Astyanax mexicanus: one gene and its partner. The protein of the gene in region 1 interacts with the protein of each later gene in a pairwise test. Links are inferred from orthologs where the notes say so. Each region holds a gene or a part of one and is shown in the gene's direction. Other genes may lie near its edges. The genes, in order: ergic3 and apolipoprotein L2-like.

Evidence for each region.
Region 2: the proteins of ergic3 (region 1) and apolipoprotein L2-like interact in binary tests that used the Homo sapiens proteins (3 or more experiments, as listed by UniProt). The link is inferred for Astyanax mexicanus from reciprocal best matches to the Homo sapiens genes ERGIC3 and APOL2.

What each region holds. Positions count from the first base shown.
Region 1 is NC_064412.1:58,218,122-58,227,081, reverse strand, and holds the start of ergic3 (endoplasmic reticulum-Golgi intermediate compartment protein 3), read left to right. Parts: upstream 1-4,965; 5' UTR 4,966-5,028; coding exon 5,029-5,116; intron 5,117-5,802; coding exon 5,803-5,873; intron 5,874-6,508; coding exon 6,509-6,596; intron 6,597-7,333; coding exon 7,334-7,453; intron 7,454-7,911; coding exon 7,912-8,005; intron 8,006-8,696; coding exon 8,697-8,862; intron 8,863-8,960. UniProt on the Homo sapiens protein: Possible role in transport between endoplasmic reticulum and Golgi. Positively regulates trafficking of the secretory proteins SERPINA1/alpha1-antitrypsin and HP/haptoglobin.
Region 2 is NC_064432.1:26,310,983-26,319,658, forward strand, and holds apolipoprotein L2-like, read left to right. Parts: upstream 1-4,904; 5' UTR 4,905-4,987; coding exon 4,988-5,102; intron 5,103-5,397; coding exon 5,398-6,188; 3' UTR 6,189-6,857; downstream 6,858-8,676. Other genes in the region: apolipoprotein L3-like, read left to right, coding at 1-549.

The sequences.
Region 1 (8,960 bases):
GAGGTTGGGTGGGGTTGGGTTAGGTTGGGTTAGGTTGGGTGGGGTTGGGTCAGGTTGGGTGGGGTTAGGTTGGGTTGGGTTGGGTTAGGTGGGGTTGGGTTGGGTTAGGTGGGGTTGGGTTGGGTTAGGTGGGGTTGGGTTGGGTCAGGTTGGTTTGGTTTGGGTTGGGTCAGGTTGGGTGGGGTTGGGTCAGGTTGGGTTAGGTTGGGTGGGGTTGGGTCAGGTTGGGTTAGGTTGGGTTAGGTGGGGTTGGGTCAGGTTGGTTTGGTTTGGGTTGGGTCAGGTTGGGTTAGGTGGGGTTGGGTCAGGTTGGTTTGGTTTGGGTTGGGTCAGGTTGGGTTAGGTTGGGTCGGGTTGGGTTAGGTTGGGTTGGGTTGGGTTAGGTTAAATTATTGCTGGACATTAAGGACAAATAAGGAAAAAATTTTAAACATTTTTAAATAGATTTTTAATATAAACAACTATTGAGAAAAAATTATGAATTAAATGTAAAATTTGATGAGATTGAAGTTGATTTATTTGCTCTGCAGTAAGACAACATTTGAATCTGTCAGGATTTGCTTAAGTCTGAAATTTGACTGGGAAATTTTTTTACGCTTCTGTAATTCCAGTCAAGCATTTTGGTTTAAGAACCCATGAAACCAATAAGAAGCCATTACTGGAGGACAGTAATCCAGAGTTAATCAGTCTAAAAATCTATAGGACCCACTTTTTATTGTGTTATAAATACACAGTTTTACATGATGTAAAACATATAATACATATTTTCTCCCAGACCCACCCTGGAGCATCTAAACCCATCCAGCTCTCATGAGCTCCAGAACAACCTTCTGCCTCACAAAAACCTCCAGCATCTCAAACTCAACTTTTTAATTAGTAAAATAAAGATTAAATATTTTGTATTTTGTGCAGAAATGCTGATGAAAACCCAGTAAAGCTCTTTTACAGAAAGTGGAAGAAGAAAGATAAGTCTTACGGTTCTGTAGAGATGAGTTACAGCTCTGTCGTCAGTCTGAGACTCTGAGATTCTGAAGTTCAGACACTTTCAGACTGTGGGATTGGTCTCCTCTGAGCTGTTTGTGTTTTTCTGTCCAATAGAGCAGCTTTATGCAAACAGCAGCTGCTCATTATTCAAAGGTGTGCTTTTAGGATTGATATAATTTACTGCAGTTTATTTTAAAATATTTTTTTCCCAAATTGCAGGTTATGAAGCTCAATGTTTTGAAGTTCTCTATTCCTAGAAGCACATTGTATTAAATCTTATTAAATCGTATTAAAGGTTCAGATCTTCCTGGTTCTTATACAGACTTGTGTAGAGATTTTGCTGATTTATATCAGGTGTAGCTCCTTTACTGATAAAGCTCTAATTGTTTGAGATTTTCATATTATAATTAATAAGTATTCTTATTCTTAGTAAAGTATTCTTAATATGCTTAGTAATAATAACAGCTATAATTATTTTCAGATACGGGGGACTGTAGAGAGATTTAGATATAGGTAACATACTCAGGTGAATAGTGTTTGTTAAACGTTACACACGTCTTCTCTCGCTCTGTTATCAGACAGAATTCCACTGCAGTTTAAGGTGAAATTTTCGATTAAGGATTATTATTATGCACTGAATATTAACTGGATTTGTCCAAGAGCAAGTAATCAGATTCACACAGTGATTTAGATTTCCTAATACAGCTGTGAATTAATTTCTAATGCAGTGAGAATTTTCCCATCTGTCTAAGATTCCAGTCTTTATTTCTGCCTTAAGAAAGGAGATTTTGTATGTAATGCTAAAAACACACCTTCTGATTTACAACATATAAACTCCTGTACTGGTTTACAGATCTTACAAGCTTTATACCAGTTACTCAAACCAGTAACACCAATAAGGCTGAACAGCAGAGTGGAGACTACTAGTAATAGTGAGCTACTTTAACAACAACTCATCACATCAAAACCTAATCAACAGATACTAAAAGTCATAACTCAACATATCAACAGATCACTATACCATGATCACTACACCATGATCCCTAGCACATGTCCCCAGAGGCAGAGTGAATCACAGGTGTGATTTATGTAAATGCTCGGTACACTTGTTTGTGCGGATTTGTGTAGATGTATATGTGAATTTGAATAAACAAAAACTCTCAGCAGCTGCTCGCATCACTCAGGTACCGAGAGAGTAGAACAGAGACGCTGGATCTTACGGTGGCCCTGAAGTGCAAAACAAATTAACATGTCAGAAAACAAAATTACAAAAACTAAAACACATTTACAAAACTTAAAACAAATTTACAAGACGCAAAACACTTTTACAAATACTGAAACACTTTTACAAACACTGAAACACTTTTACCAGCACTAAAACACTTTTACAAACGCTGAAACACTTTTACAAATACTGAAACACTTTTACAAATGCTAAAACACTTTTACAAATACTGAAACACTTTTACAAACGCTGAAACACTTTTACAAATACTGAAACACTTTTACAAACGCTGAAACACTTTTACAAACGCTGAAACACTTTTACAAACGCTGAAACACTTTTACAAACTGCGATTTCTGACGGAAAGGGAGGGTCTAACACACAGGAAGTGCTTGATGCGGACCCTCCTTGTCAGTCAAGCTGCGTTACGATGAGAGAGTTGAGTTATGAACACCAAACTATGTTTTGTGGCACGTATTTTAGCAGCAGCAGTAAATACTTAAACTATCCCTGTCCTGTTGCTACCCCCGCCGCGGGGTTCACCTAATACCCCGGGGGTTCAGCTAATGCCACGCGGCCATCAGCCACTACCCCCGCCGCGGGGTTCACCTAATGCCCGGCGGCCATCAGCCACTGCCCCGCGGTTATCAGCCACTGCCCCCGCCGCGGGGTTCACCTAATACCCCGGGGGTTCAGCCACTGCCCCTCGGTTATCAGTCACTGCCCCCGCCGCGGGGTTCAGCTAATGCCCGGCGGCCATCAGCCACTGCGCCGCGGTTATCAGCCACTGCCCCCGCCGCGGGGTTCTCCTAATACCCCGGGGGTTCAGCCACTGCCCCGCGGTTATCAGCCACTGCCCCCGCCGCGGGGTTCAGCTAATGCCCGGCGGCCATCAGCCACTGCCCCGCGGGGTTCAGGTAATACAGTACAGGAGTGGCTGAACCCCGCGGGGCAGTGGCTGAACTCCGTGGGGCATTAGCTGAACCCCGCGGCGGGGGCAGTGGCTGATGGCCGCGTGGCATTAGCTGAACCCCCGGGGTATTAGGTGAACCCCGCGGCGGGGGCAGTGGCTGATGGCCGCGTGGCATTAGCTGAACCCCCGGGGTATTAGGTGAACCCCGCGGCGGGGGCAGTGGCTGATGGCCGCGTGGCATTAGCTGAACCCCCGGGGTATTAGGTGAACCCCGCGGCGGGGGTAGCAACAGGACAGGGATAGTTTAAGTATTTACTGCTGCTGCTAAAATACGTGCCACAAAACATAGTTTAGTGTCCATAACTCCACTCTCTCATCGTAACGCAGCTTGACTGACAAGGAGGGTCCGCATCAAGCACTTCCTGTGTGTTAGACCCTCCCTTTCCGTCAGAAATCGCAGTTTGTAAAAGTGTTTCAGCGTTTGTAAAAGTGTTTCAGCGTTTGTAAAAGTGTTTCAGCGTTTGTAAAAGTGTTTTAGCGTTTGTAAAAGTGTTTCAGCGTTTGTAAAAGTGTTTCAGCGTTTGTAAAAGTGTTTCAGCGTTTGTAAAAGTGTTTCAGCGTTTGTAAAAGTGTTTTAGCGTTTGTAAAAGTGTTTCAGTGTTTGTAAAAGTGTTTCAGTGTTTGTAAAAGTGTTTCAGTATTTGTAAAAGTGTTTTGCGTCTTGTAAATTTGTTTTAAGTTTTGTAAATGTGTTTTAGTTTTTGTAATTTTGTTTTCTGACATGTTAATTTGTTTTGCACTTCAGGGCCACCGTAGGATCTGCATTACTGAGCCTGAAATATAGAAAATTATTAACAGTGTAAATATCATTCAACCTGTTTTATCCAGCTACATAACATACACAATCTGCCATAACCTTAAACAGTAATTGATCTACAGATCTACAGTAACTGATCTACAGATCTACAGTAACTGATCTACAGTAACTGATCTACAGATTTACAGTAACTGATCTACAGATCTACAGTAACTGATCTACAGTAACTGATCTACAGTAACTGATCTACAGATTTACAGTAACTGATCTACAGTAACTGATCTACAGTAACTGATCTACAGATCTACAGTAACTGATCTACAGTAACTGATCTACAGTAACTGATCTACAGATCTACAGTAACTGATCTACAGTAACTGATCTACAGATTTACAGTAACGGATCTACAGTAAATGCTCTACAGATCTACAGTAACTGATCTACAGTAACTGATCTACAGATCTACAGTAACTGATCTACAGTAACAGATCTACAGTAACTGATCTACATATCTACAGTAACTAATCTACAGTAACTGATCTACAGTAACTGATCTACATATCTACAGTAACAGATCTACAGTAACTGATCTACAGATCTACAGTAACTGATCTACAGTAACTGATCTACAGTAACTGATCTACAGTAACTGATCTACATATCTACAGTAACAGATCTACAGTAACTGATCTACAGATCTACAGTAACTGATCTACAGTAAATGCTCTACAGATCTACAGTAACTGATCTACAGTAACTGATCTACAGTAACTGATCTACAGATCTACAGTAACTAATCTACAGATCTACAGTAACTGATCTACAGTAAATGCTCTACAGATCTACAGTAACTGATCTACAGCTCTACAGTAACTGATCTACAGTAACTGATCTACAGTAACAGATCTACAGTAACTGATCTACAGATCTACAGTAACTGATCCACAATAACTGATCTACAGCAGATCCTCAGACAGTAAATCCCGTGTTGTGTAGATCTATAGTAACCGACGCGGTGTGATCTGATTGGCAGAGAGAGTGCGGTGTATCCGGTGCGGAGCGGAAGTGAACCGGATCGCAGAGGGAAAGATGGAGGCGCTGAATAAACTGAAGCAGTTTGACGCTTATCCCAAAACTCTGGAGGACTTCAGGATCAAAACCTGCGGCGGAGCGACCGGTGAGTTCCTGCCCCGCCCAGACCGAACCGAACCCCGGCGGGAAGCGGCGGGTCACCGCGCTACACTCACCCTGCTGTAGGAACTATCCTGTCCACCTTAAATCTCCCCGCTGCTACAGCAGTGTCGCCTGATGCGCTGGAATAGAACAGCCGCGACATTTAAGGTGGAACTCACAGTTCCTACAAACACTGAACTCAACACTGCATTTTACTGAAGATTTAAATGAAGCTTTAAAGTGAAACAGCATTTTAACCCTGTGTGGCTGTTTTCTTATGTTTAATATATATGTAATTATAAGATTATTATATGTACCTTCATTATTTTGTTATTATTGTACTGTTTCGTTATTTTGTATGTGGCTATTTTGTTTACTTTCACTTATTAAAACACTGTTATGAATTGTTGCCTCTACTAAACATTATGCAGCTACAAAACGAAGCGAGCATGATAAATCAGTGGTTCTTATTTTATTCATGTAAAAACTGGATCTAAATAGTAGGCTAAAATATATATTTTCTAAACAAATACAAAGATCATGCTATAGGGGGTTAAACTGAGCTCAGGTGCTGCTGTCCAGCGATCAATTTAATAATGAAGTTAATAATAGAACAGAATAGTATTCTGCTGTGCTAAACTAAGAGAATTCGTATTAAACCCTGAAGACTAACTTTTTCCCTGTTTTCAGTTACGATCATCAGCGGACTGATCATGCTGATCCTGTTTTTCTCAGAGTTACAGTATTATCTTACCAAGGAGGTGAGTGTGCTTTAAATTAACATAAAATAAATAATCACTGTAATTTAAATACTAATCTTATTATTAATATTAATTTTAAGAAACACAATACAGGAAGATGATAAATGCTGCACTGAACAACTAGATTTATACACAGAGCCCCTTTCCTCCCCTATACTCTCACCACACTTAACCCCCCGACCCCACTCCTTCTTATCCGTAATCATAGTAAAAACATTTATCAGTTCTAGTACTACTACCAATACCACTAATACTACTCTTAATAATAATAATTATGCTAATATTAGTACTATATCAATTTTACATTACAATTACTTTTGTTATCACTACTTCTACTACTAATTACAGTAATAGCAGTTTTAGTACCAGATTCTGCAACTACTGATAATCATTTTGTAGCACAATTAAAACATACATACAGTTTAATATAAAAACAATCTGATAAAACATAACAGTTCGAGTAGAAATGTTATACATTGTTTTCCTGTAATAGAACTAATTAATCAGTGTTGCTGATTTGTTTATACAGGCTGATGTTCTCCTGCTGTGCTCGAGGCCTGCAGAACCTTCATTGTGTCATTCTGTTTTAATGACAATTCATTAAAAATTAGGACATTTATTGTCTCTGGTTTCAGGTCCACCCTGAACTGTTTGTGGACACTTCGAGAGGAGACAAGCTGAAGATCAACATTGATGTTGTGTTTCCTCACATGCCGTGTGCCTGTGAGTAACTCTCCTGATCCCCATGTTCTGTACAAAACTGCGAGGGATTATTATTGTTTTTCATCATGTTAAAGATTAAATGTTACTGATAAATGATAAACCATGTTTAAATCATGACTGTGATTACCCAGTTTATAAAACCCAGTTCAGTAAAAATCCAAAGCTTTTACCATCACTTACTAAAATTAATATTTCCATCATAGTCTGGAGTTCTGCACCGGATCACAATATGCTCAAATATCTCAATATTACCTCATATATAACCGTAATACACTCTAATTAACAAAACCTGCAGTACAACACAGTGAAGTAACGTTACGACTAGATTATATGACATATAAAATGTAATATAGTATAAATATAATATAAATAATATATATTTTTTTTAACCAGTCCATCAATAAGCTCTTCAGCTCGGACTTTTTATTTACTCTTTATTCTCCGGAAGAATTCTCTTTTGAAGCTGCAATTCTATTTCTTGAAAAATTATGAATAATTGATTAAGTCCTGCCTATAGTCCCTTTAAATCTTGTAAACTGATTTTTGATAAAGCGTGCTTATGTTTTCAAATTAATAAATTTTTACCATTTAATACATTTTTACTTTTTTTAACTTTTAAAATTGACGTGTTGAAAATCCTTATATCTCATACTCATATCCCGGTACAGTATTAGGTTTTATCAGCATCACCCAGCATTACATATCAGAGTTTATTTATTGTTATTTCTGACTCTCAGATCTGAGTATTGATGCGATGGACGTGGCGGGAGAGCAGCAGCTGGACGTGGAGCACAACCTGTTTAAACAGAGGCTGGATAAAGACGGAAAACCCGTCAGTTCTGAGGCAGAAAAACACGGTTAGTATCTGTTTAACGTTCCTGATCTTGAATTTAACGTCTGTTAGTCCAGTTCTCTAAACTCTCCTTCTAAACTTTTCCTGCCTGTAGTTTTTACTTACTATATAAAATCAGCTTTTTACTAAAATGTTTTTGTGGTGTGTAAATCTCACCCTGCGTCTGAATCCTCAGTAGAAACTCGATCTGATTGCTGTTTATTTCAGACTGGAGTTCAGTTCTGCTGCAGTGTGAGAAACGGGACTGAACAATCAATAAAGAAGAAAAATATATGTATTTAGGGGTGATTTTTTTCAGGAAGAATGAAACTGTAATATTTATACTAGAGCTGATCGGTGATGGTTGGCAGCAGTACCGTACTCTAAATAAAGTACGTTCGTTTAAGGAGGAATGTTTTATTAAGTTTGTATAATTAATAAATATAAATAAACTGAATGTTCAGTTTTGTGTTTTGTGAATAGATCTGGGTCAGGAGGAGGGAGAGATATTCGACCCCAGTAAACTGGATCCTGAGCGCTGCGAGAGCTGCTACGGAGCCGAGACTGAAGATCTGAAGTGAGTCTTTAGTTTTAATCTTCTGCTTCAGTAAAACTGGACAACCGGTTCAACCTGATTTATTCTGCATCTTAAACACAGAGAGATGGAATGTAGAAAAACTGAGTTTTAGTTTGGAGAAGAAGAAGAAGAAGAAGAACCGGTTCTCTGCTTAAAAAACTGGAGTGAAATTCAGATCTGATCAGCAGAAAAAGGAGCTTCTGTTAGTCACTAAGAGAAGATCAAATAATATATCTGATTAAATTCTGAAAATTCTCCACACAGTTCAGTCCCACAGCACCCAGTAAACACTAAATACTAAATACAGTAAAAGCTGCTGACAGTGTTTCTGTAGGAAAACAAGAAGAAAACCAAGAGCACGTTCTGCTTCAACAGTTTCACACAGATAAAACTTTAATTTTATATTTTATCCTGCGTTATCCTGTGGCCAGCCCTCCTGTACACATTTAAATGATAATATTATATATGAATTTAAGTGTCAGATTTTAAGGCCCATCACAATAACTGTTTGTTTGAACAGTTTATTGTCATTTAAAAACTATTTTGTGCCACTGGTTTACTTAATGATAATGTAGCATAACAATGTGATTACACACTTTTTAAAGAGCAGTTGACTTTTTATAATAATGATTAAGCTACATCAGAGATCAGTTTTGTACTTTAGAACTGATTCTGAGACTCTGATGTTTAGATGCTGTAATACGTGTGACGACGTGCGAGAGGCGTATCGGAGGCGAGGCTGGGCCTTTAAAACCCCCGACACCATCGAGCAGTGCAAGAGAGAGGGCTTCAGCCAGAAGATGCAGGAGCAGAAGAACGAAGGATGCCAGGTCTACGGCTTCCTCGAAGTCAATAAGGTGCTTTAGAAATTTACACTGTATTTCTATACTGATCTGTACTTTTATATAAATATGGTGTAAAAAGATGTAAAGCTGTTTTTCATAATGTGTGTTCT
Region 2 (8,676 bases), on another chromosome or scaffold:
GTTGTAGCGGAAGCAGGGGCTATAGTTGCTGTAGGTGGCGGTGCAGCATCAGCCGCCTGCAACGTCTTGAGCGCCATCCATAAGAAAGTGTCGCGCGACGACATCGAAAAAGCCCTGGAAATATTTAACAAAAGACTCTCGCCCATCAACAAGTGCCTGGAGGACATCCAGATTAAACTCAAGAAGCTGCCGCGAGAGAACGAGGGTCAATTCAACCTCAGATTACGGGGAATAATGATGAAGGAAATAATGGAAACCATCGCCGAATCAGGAATGCTTGTAGGCAGGACTCTCAGATCCGTAGCCACGGTCATGACTGTAGTGTCCAGCATCTTCGTCGTGCTGGATATCTTCTTCATCGTCAGCGATTACAGAGAACTGGAGGAACTGGAGAATCCGCCCAGCAGCAGCCAAATCAAGTCCAATACGGTTCAATTCCTCCAGAAGATGAAAGAAATCATACAGACTCTTAAGCAAGCAGTGGGCGATATCAAGAGCGCCATCAAAACGCTGCAGCGCCTCCCGTCTCCACGCATGCTAACGAGCTAACATGCTAACGAGCTAATGAGAAAACACAATATGCTAACACAAGCTTCACAGCTTTACTTTACACCGTAAAAGAAGGATGAATTCGATATATACTGTATTTCTGATTTTGCTATTTATAGTTATATGTTTGAGTAAAATGAACATTGTTGTTTTATTTTATAAACTACGGACTATAAACATTACTCCCGAATTACAAATCCAAAAAAACAATATTGTCATTTAGAGCATTTATTTGCGGAATGCGAATAGAAATGGCTGAAATAATGGCAAGAAATCAATATTTGGTGGAATAACCCTGGTAGTTTTTAATCACAGTTTTAATTTCATGCATCTTGGCATCATGTTCTCCTCCACCAGTCTTACACACTGCTTTTGGATAACTTTATGCTGCTTTACTCCTGGTGCAAAAATTCAAGCAGTTCAGTTTGGTGGTTTGATGGTTTGTGATCATCCATCTTCCTCTTGATTATCTATTTTGGACTTAAGTCATTTTATTGTTAGCAGTGCTTTATACCAGTGTAAATGATTTTAGCTTCATAATTTTCTTTTTGCTTTTTATGTGGAATTAAACACAAAGTTAAAATTAATTATTTGCCCAATTACTTGGTTAAGTTCCAACGTAATTACTTATAATTGAGTGATGTAATAAAGACATTTCTTGAACATTTTCTAGTTCTGATCTTTCCTTTTTTAAACACTGCCAGTAACTGAGGGAGGGCTCTGCTCGAGGAACATGCTCAGTTGTCTCTGACTGCACTCACTCCCGTTACGAGTGGCGTGCATCAAAAAAAAAAAAAAAGTAGTAGTTATCCTTATATTTTGAGGCTAAACCCTGAACATTACAGAGCTCACTCCTATTGCCCGACACAGACCAACAACAACACTGCACTCATTTTTGCTGGATCAGCAAAAATCTGATTTATTTTTAAATCCCCTACTAAAGTAATCTTTGTGTTTAACTTCATATCCTACGCTAGCAGAACCCATAGAGTCTCAACATAAAACCAGAAAGAGTACTACACCAATAAGAAAACTTTAGGAAAGACTCCTAGCACTACAGTGGCCAAACTCTATAATAGAAATAACCTTGTGACTCTAGATAAGATAAATACTGTAAAATTTAAAAATGCAAAAATGTGTGGGTGAACATAAACAGTGTGTCTATGCTGTGGGTCCTGTAGGCTTTGGTCCATTTTGCTTGGGGCCCCCAGACGCATTGAAAGGGCCCCGTCATTAGTCGTTCCTCGCATTGCGCTTGGGAGGGGGGATAAAAGCTACATTTGCCTTTAGTGAGGAACAAAAGAAAGAATTTCATTGTATGAGGAAACTTTTCTTATCGTTTCTTACTGTGCACATGACAAACTTTTGAAAGACGTCTCTGGACAGTAGAGAGACAGTTATTGCAACAAAAGCAGAATAAACTCATTTAATATCATTTATTTTAAAAGAAACGATGACTAGAAAGTGTCCTGATGTTTTTGTCAAACACTAAATGCCTGATTATATAAAACATTGTCAGGTGGTGAGGAAGCAGGATATGAGCACTTTAATGTAAATACTGACCAGGAGAATAAACAATGACAGCAATGATCCTTCAGCAAGCATCTAAAAAAACAATCATGGAAACAAAAAGAAACTAAAAGAGGTTACAGTGAGGAGATTCAGACATTTAACCCCGTAGGTTATATCTATATTTTAATATGTGTTCTAAACCTCTAAACCTCCTCAGGGATTAAGCCTAGTCTTGGATTTATTTTAAGATTTGACAGTATTTTAAATAGAGTTTTTCTATTGAAATGAAAATATAGACAAAAACTGGGCTTAATGCCCATAAATCCTAAATAGGAATCCAGCATGATTTATTATTTCTGAATTATTATTTTTTATATATTATGTTTTATCTTTAACAGAGAGTGAAATAAACTGCTCTTTTAGCAAATATTTACTCTCCAGAAACATGTGACAAAGTGAAATAATAAGTGAACACAGCCTGAACCTCCCTTACATTACTTCCATCACTTCAGGAGATCCTACCTGTGAGGTAAGTGCCATCTATGATTTTATAAAGCTTTATAAATAAATAGATTACTGCTCACCACAGCATCCTTTGTAAAAAAAAAAATGTTTATAGTCATATGTTATATGTTATTTTCACCACTATTTAATACAATTCAAGCATAATTTGTGTGAGCAGTGTCCGACTGAACATTGAAAACATATCAAAAGTGTGATTAAAGAGAGGATTTAACATCACATTCATTTTGATGAGTGTATATAAACTGGTAAAAACAAATCTACAAATCTAAGAATCAGCTGTTCAATCTTTCAATCTTTTACTTACACTAAACTAACTAAAGTAAACTTTTAAAGTAAAGTTTTTAGACAAAACCGTTTATCACATTATCACAGTTTTAATTTGTAAACACAAAATGACAGTTTTGGTAGCAAAATTCATGTTTTATGAAACTATACTAAGCATATATTTTTATTAAGTACATTACCTGAACAAAATTAGCACAGCCAAATAAAGTGTACTTTTAAAAGTATACTGAAATACAGATTAAGCTAAGGTAACAATGTATGTTCAAGGAGGAAAGATACAATTTAATTATTCCGCATATAGGTTCAAGTACATTATTGTTATTGTTATATATTTAAATACACAATTTTCAGGAAAAGGAAGTGTGTGTTAAGCCTAGTATCATGTACAGTGGCTTGCAAATTTTTTGTGGCCCTTGAACTTTTTCACATATTGTCTTTTTATATAGTAGCTCATTACTGAGATATTAAACCAAAATTATACATGTTTTTTTATTGTAATCAAATAAAAATCTGAAAAGTGTGATGTTTCACAGTGGGGACTGGGTGTGCAGGACTCATAGTTGTCCTGTGGACAGATTCTCCTCATCCTCCTGAGCTGTGGATCTCTGCAGCTCCTCCAGAGTGATCATGGGCCTCTCGGCTCTATTTGCTGGATCTGTTAGTTTGGGTGGATGATTGGTTCATATCTTGGTAGGATTGTAGGAACAGTTGTAGAATACTTTTTCAGGTTTATTGGCTTTTAGATGATGGATTGATGAACAGAGCTGTTTGGGATGATCAAAGCTTGGGATGTGTTTTTATAATCTAACCCTGCTTTAAACCTTTATCTTCTTCTCCGCAACTTTATCTCTGGCCTGTCTGGTGAGTTTTTCATTGTTGGTCTTCATGATGCTGTGTGTTCACTAGTGTTCACTAACAAACAAACTACTGAGGTCTTCAGAGAACAGCTGTATTTGTACAGAGACTAAATTACACACAGCTGGATTAACTCTATTAACTCATTAATCTATCTATTCTAATTAAACAAAATATGACTTTTGATGGCAACTGACTGCACTGGATTTTATTTAAGTGGTTGAGAGTAAAGGGGAATGAATACTTGCATCACACTTTTTGACGTTTTTATTTGAATAAAATTTTGTAAACTATCATTTTCATTGCACTTCACGATGATGTGCTACTTTGCGTTGGTTTATCTCTTAAAATCTCAATAAGTATTGAGTGAGTATTCCAGGTTTTCTGGTTTGGCCCTGTTTATTAAAGTCAATCCAAACTTTCACTCCAGTCTGTGGCATCAAATTTGTATTCTAATTCCTCTAAGTGGAGTATTTGTACACCAATTAAGAATTGTTACAGCTTAGAAAAGTTTACAGCTCTGGAAGAAAATAAGAGAGCACTTAAAAATGTAGACCAAAGAATTCTTTGATTTTATCCAATTGAAACCCTCTAAAATATAATCAAGAGGAAGATGGATGATCACGAACCATCAAACCACCAAACTGAACTGCTTGAATTTTTACACCAGGAGTAAAGCAGCATAAAGTTATCCAAAAGCAGTGTGTAAGACTGGTGGAGGAGAACATGATGACAAGATGCATGAAAAACTGTGATTAACCCTGCTGTTATGTTAAAGTTTGGAAATCTTCATAAATATAGTTAAAAGTATTTTTTTCAGTATGAAACTTTTTCTGCTCGAGGTATGCTTTAAGGTCTGAAAGCTCTGCATCTTTTTTGTTATTTCAGTCATTTCTCATTTTCTGTAAATAAATGCTCTAAATGAGAATATTTTTATTTGTAATTTGGGAGAAATGTTGTCTGTAGTTTATAGAATAAAACAACAATGTTCATTTTACTCAAATATAAACCTATAAATAGCAAAATCAGAGAAACTGATTCAGAAACTGAAGTGATCTCTGCGTCAGAGCTGTATATCTGGACCTTGATTACCCAACTACATTTGTTATTGGAGGTCTAATGCCAGCGTATTTCTAGCAGTTAATTTTTCTGGTTTCTTCTGGTTACAGGATTGACTTTGAAGCTGAAAGTGAACTGGGCGGTACTTCATAAACATTCTGTCAACGCTCAGTTAAACAAGAAGGATCATTAAAACAATTAAATGGACTCATCAGACGAGCACAAACTACTCATCAACTCCACATACGGCAGCTCTGACAGCGATGACAGCTCTGATTCAAATCACAGCATAGAGCAGCCTCCCTCTATACACAACGGTAAGATTTATCTCATTATTTCTTTTAAATAATTGTATTTAAGCATGAAGTGCAGTGATGCGTCTCTCAGAAGTGGAGTCACCACAGGTCTAGGGTCTAGTGTATCCATCCCTATATGTTTCAGTGATGAAATAGCCCAAACAACCAATGATTTATAAAGGAAAACCATGAAAATGATCAGCGGTGCCCAAACTTTTTCATTCCACTGTAACTGTATGTTAAGTTTTGCAGCATTTTTTTTTCAACAAGTTAAAAAAATGCACTTCCACTAATTTAACTCCAATGTGCTCAACAGGGGTTCCACCAGAGGAGTCTCTCATTAGGAATATAAATTTATTTACATCCCTCTTCGACAGCAGTATCTCTGAACTCCAGAATCAAATCAATAAACTGAAAGAAATCACTGAGAGAGTGGAGAAGATTCATCGTAACACCACTATTGGAAGCCTCTCAGGAGGAGTGATTAGTGCAGTTGGAGGAATCTTGACTATCGTAGGTCTTGCCCTCACTCCATTTACTCTGGGAGCCTCACTGATTGTAACAGGAGTGGGTGTAGGAGTAGCTGTTTCTGGAGGCGTAGCAGGGGCGGCATCAAACATCACTGACCTGATTAATCAGAAAGTTTCACGAACAGAAATAGAAAAAATTCTGAAAACAGTTCAGGACAAACTTCCCCCCATTCTCAAACACCTGGAAGAAATAGAGATCAGGCTGGATGAGATACAACAATTTGACCCTACAGATCCATCAGGGCGAAAAGCACAGATTGGATTCGGATTAGGCAGAGGGGTAGGATACAGTGCAGAACTACTACGACTGGTTAACGTTGTTGAAATAGGTAAAGTAACAGCACAGGTATCTAGAACCGTAAAAGCAGCTGGAGCAGTTACAGGAGTTCTGGCAGGTCTCTTTCTGGTGCTGGACGTTGTCTTCGTTGTCAAAGACGCCAAAGAACTATACAATATTAATAATGGAAATGGAAAATCAGCCATAAGTAAATTCATTAAGGGAATGAAGGTCACTGTTGGTCAACTTACTGAAACACTGGATCAACTTCAAGGGGTCCGAAATCGATTTAATGCCTAGATCACAAGCTAACGAACAGAGCCCTTTTACGCTGCTGAAGCCGTACGTCTGGGTGTCTATGTTAATTTAGGCGCAGAGGAAGCACAGGTATCTAAAGCAGTAACAGCATTCGGAGTGATCACAGGAGCCCTGGCATGTCTCTTCCTCCTGATGGATCTTCTGCTTATTGGCTACTATCTTAAACAACTCAGAGAAATGAACAAAGAGCGGAGAAATGGAAACGGAAAATCATCCATATGCAAGTTCATTAAAGGAATGAAAGAAAATGTTGATCACCTGAACCAAACACTGGATCGACTTCAGGAAGTCAGACAGCAATTTGACGCAAAGATAAAAAAATAAAAAAATGAACTGAAACTTGTATTATCATTTTGTAAAACACTCAATCACTGTAGACCAAAGAATTCTTTGATTTTATCAAATTAAAAACCTCTGGAATATAATCAAGAGGAAGATGGATGATCACAAACCATCAAACCACCAAACTGAACTGCTTGAATTTTTGCACCAGGAGTAAAGCAGCATAAAGTTATCCAAAAGCAGTGTGTAAGACTGGTGGAGGAGAACATGATGCCAAGATGCATGAAAAAAAACTGTGATTAAAAACCAACCAGGATTATTCCACCAAATATTGATTATTTCTGAACTCTTAAAACTTTATGAATATGAATTTTTTCTCTTTGCATTATTTGAGGTCAGTCATTTCTCATTTTCTGTAAATAAAAGCTCTAAATATAATATTTTTATTTGGGAATTTGGGAGAAATGTTGTCTGTAGTTTATAGAATAAAACAACAATGTTCATTTTACTTAAACATAAACCTATAAATAGCAGAAACTGATGTGGTTAAAATATACTCAAATACTGTAGAGCATATTTTTAATATTTTTATTCTTTTGTGTATTTTGGATTTTTTTTGTACTTTATGCATCATATTTATAAGACTTTAGACTGAAGACTGAAGGCTTGTTTATGTTTTACTTTCACTTGCATGCAAGCTGCATAACTGGACAATTTTAGTGATTGGTTTAGAGCTGCAGTCATGATAAATTGTTCTTCTGTACATATATACATACATTTACATTTTCTGACAATATTGAAACTAGTTTGATTTTATTACAATATGAGAAATATTAAGTAAAATTTTGATTATTAATTGAATTGAACTGAACATACAGAAAGTGTCTTCAATTCCTTGAAAATAAAACAGTGTAAAAATTCACTGATTTTAAAGGGGCTTTATTTTCTTAAAAGGGTGGTTATCCACAGACTGCAGGGAGAATGCAGCACAGCTTAACATTAAATAATGCAGGAATGATCTGTATTTAACTTTTATTGCAAGTCAATGTAAAATGTTACTGTTTTCTGTTTAATAATAATCTAATGTTGGGTTTTACATATTTAAAAAAAACTCATGTTGTAAGACTTTGTAACTAATAGAAAATAAAATATATTCTCCAAACTGATGTGGGCAAATGAGAGTAATTAGACGGGTTTTGTCTACACCTATAGTATAGTATCTCAGTAACATTATTAAATTTATGTCAGTAATAGTAAAGCCATATTTCTTTCATTTCTAAATCATGAAACTTGGCCACAATGGTGAAAAGAGCAATTAAAACGGTGTTTACGCAAAAAAGTGTTTTAATATCCTCATATAGTTATAGAAAGAACCGCAATTAATGTATAACAAAAGATCACCTCAAATTTTTATTTGAGTAAAACATAGAATAAAAATGTTTTAAAATAAAGAGTGAATGGAATTATAAAGTAACAGTATACATATTAGTAGGAAAAATATATAGTTAAAAGAATAAGTACTAGCTAATTGGAGGCAGCATGAGATGAGATTGGATGTGTTGGTTAAAGCTGTCCTGCCCTATAAGAAACACACACCAGTCTAGAGTTTGCTGTTCTTAAGAAGCATTGCTTGATGTGATCATGCCTCACACAAAAGACCAAGCTCTCAGAAGACCTACGGGGCTGGAAAGGGTTACAAAAGTATCTCTAAAAGCCTTGACGTACATGTGTCGACGGTAAGACAGACACTACAGAGACGAATAGAGAAAGTTCTGTAAAGGTGACTGCAAGAGCACAGCACATGCAGAATGATCAACGAGGTGAGGAAGAATCCTAGAGTGTCAGCTGAAGACTCAATACAGAAATCTCTGGCACATGCTCACATTTTTGTTGATAAATCTACAATAAGGAAAACATTAAACAATAAAGAATGGAGTTCATGGAAGAACACCACGGAGGAAATGTCTGAGATCTTCTGCAATTTGATTTTAGATATTTAGGGTATAACTCTTAAAAACCTTTTTTACTCAAAACTCAAAAATACAAATTGAGACCAGCGATAAAATGTAGGGTGGAGTCAGCTAAAACAGGCCATTTACCAGATCAGATAAGATTGTAACATCTTGTAGCTCCTCAAATGCTTACAGCCAATCACAATAAGTGTTCTTACATTGAGAGCGCCATATTG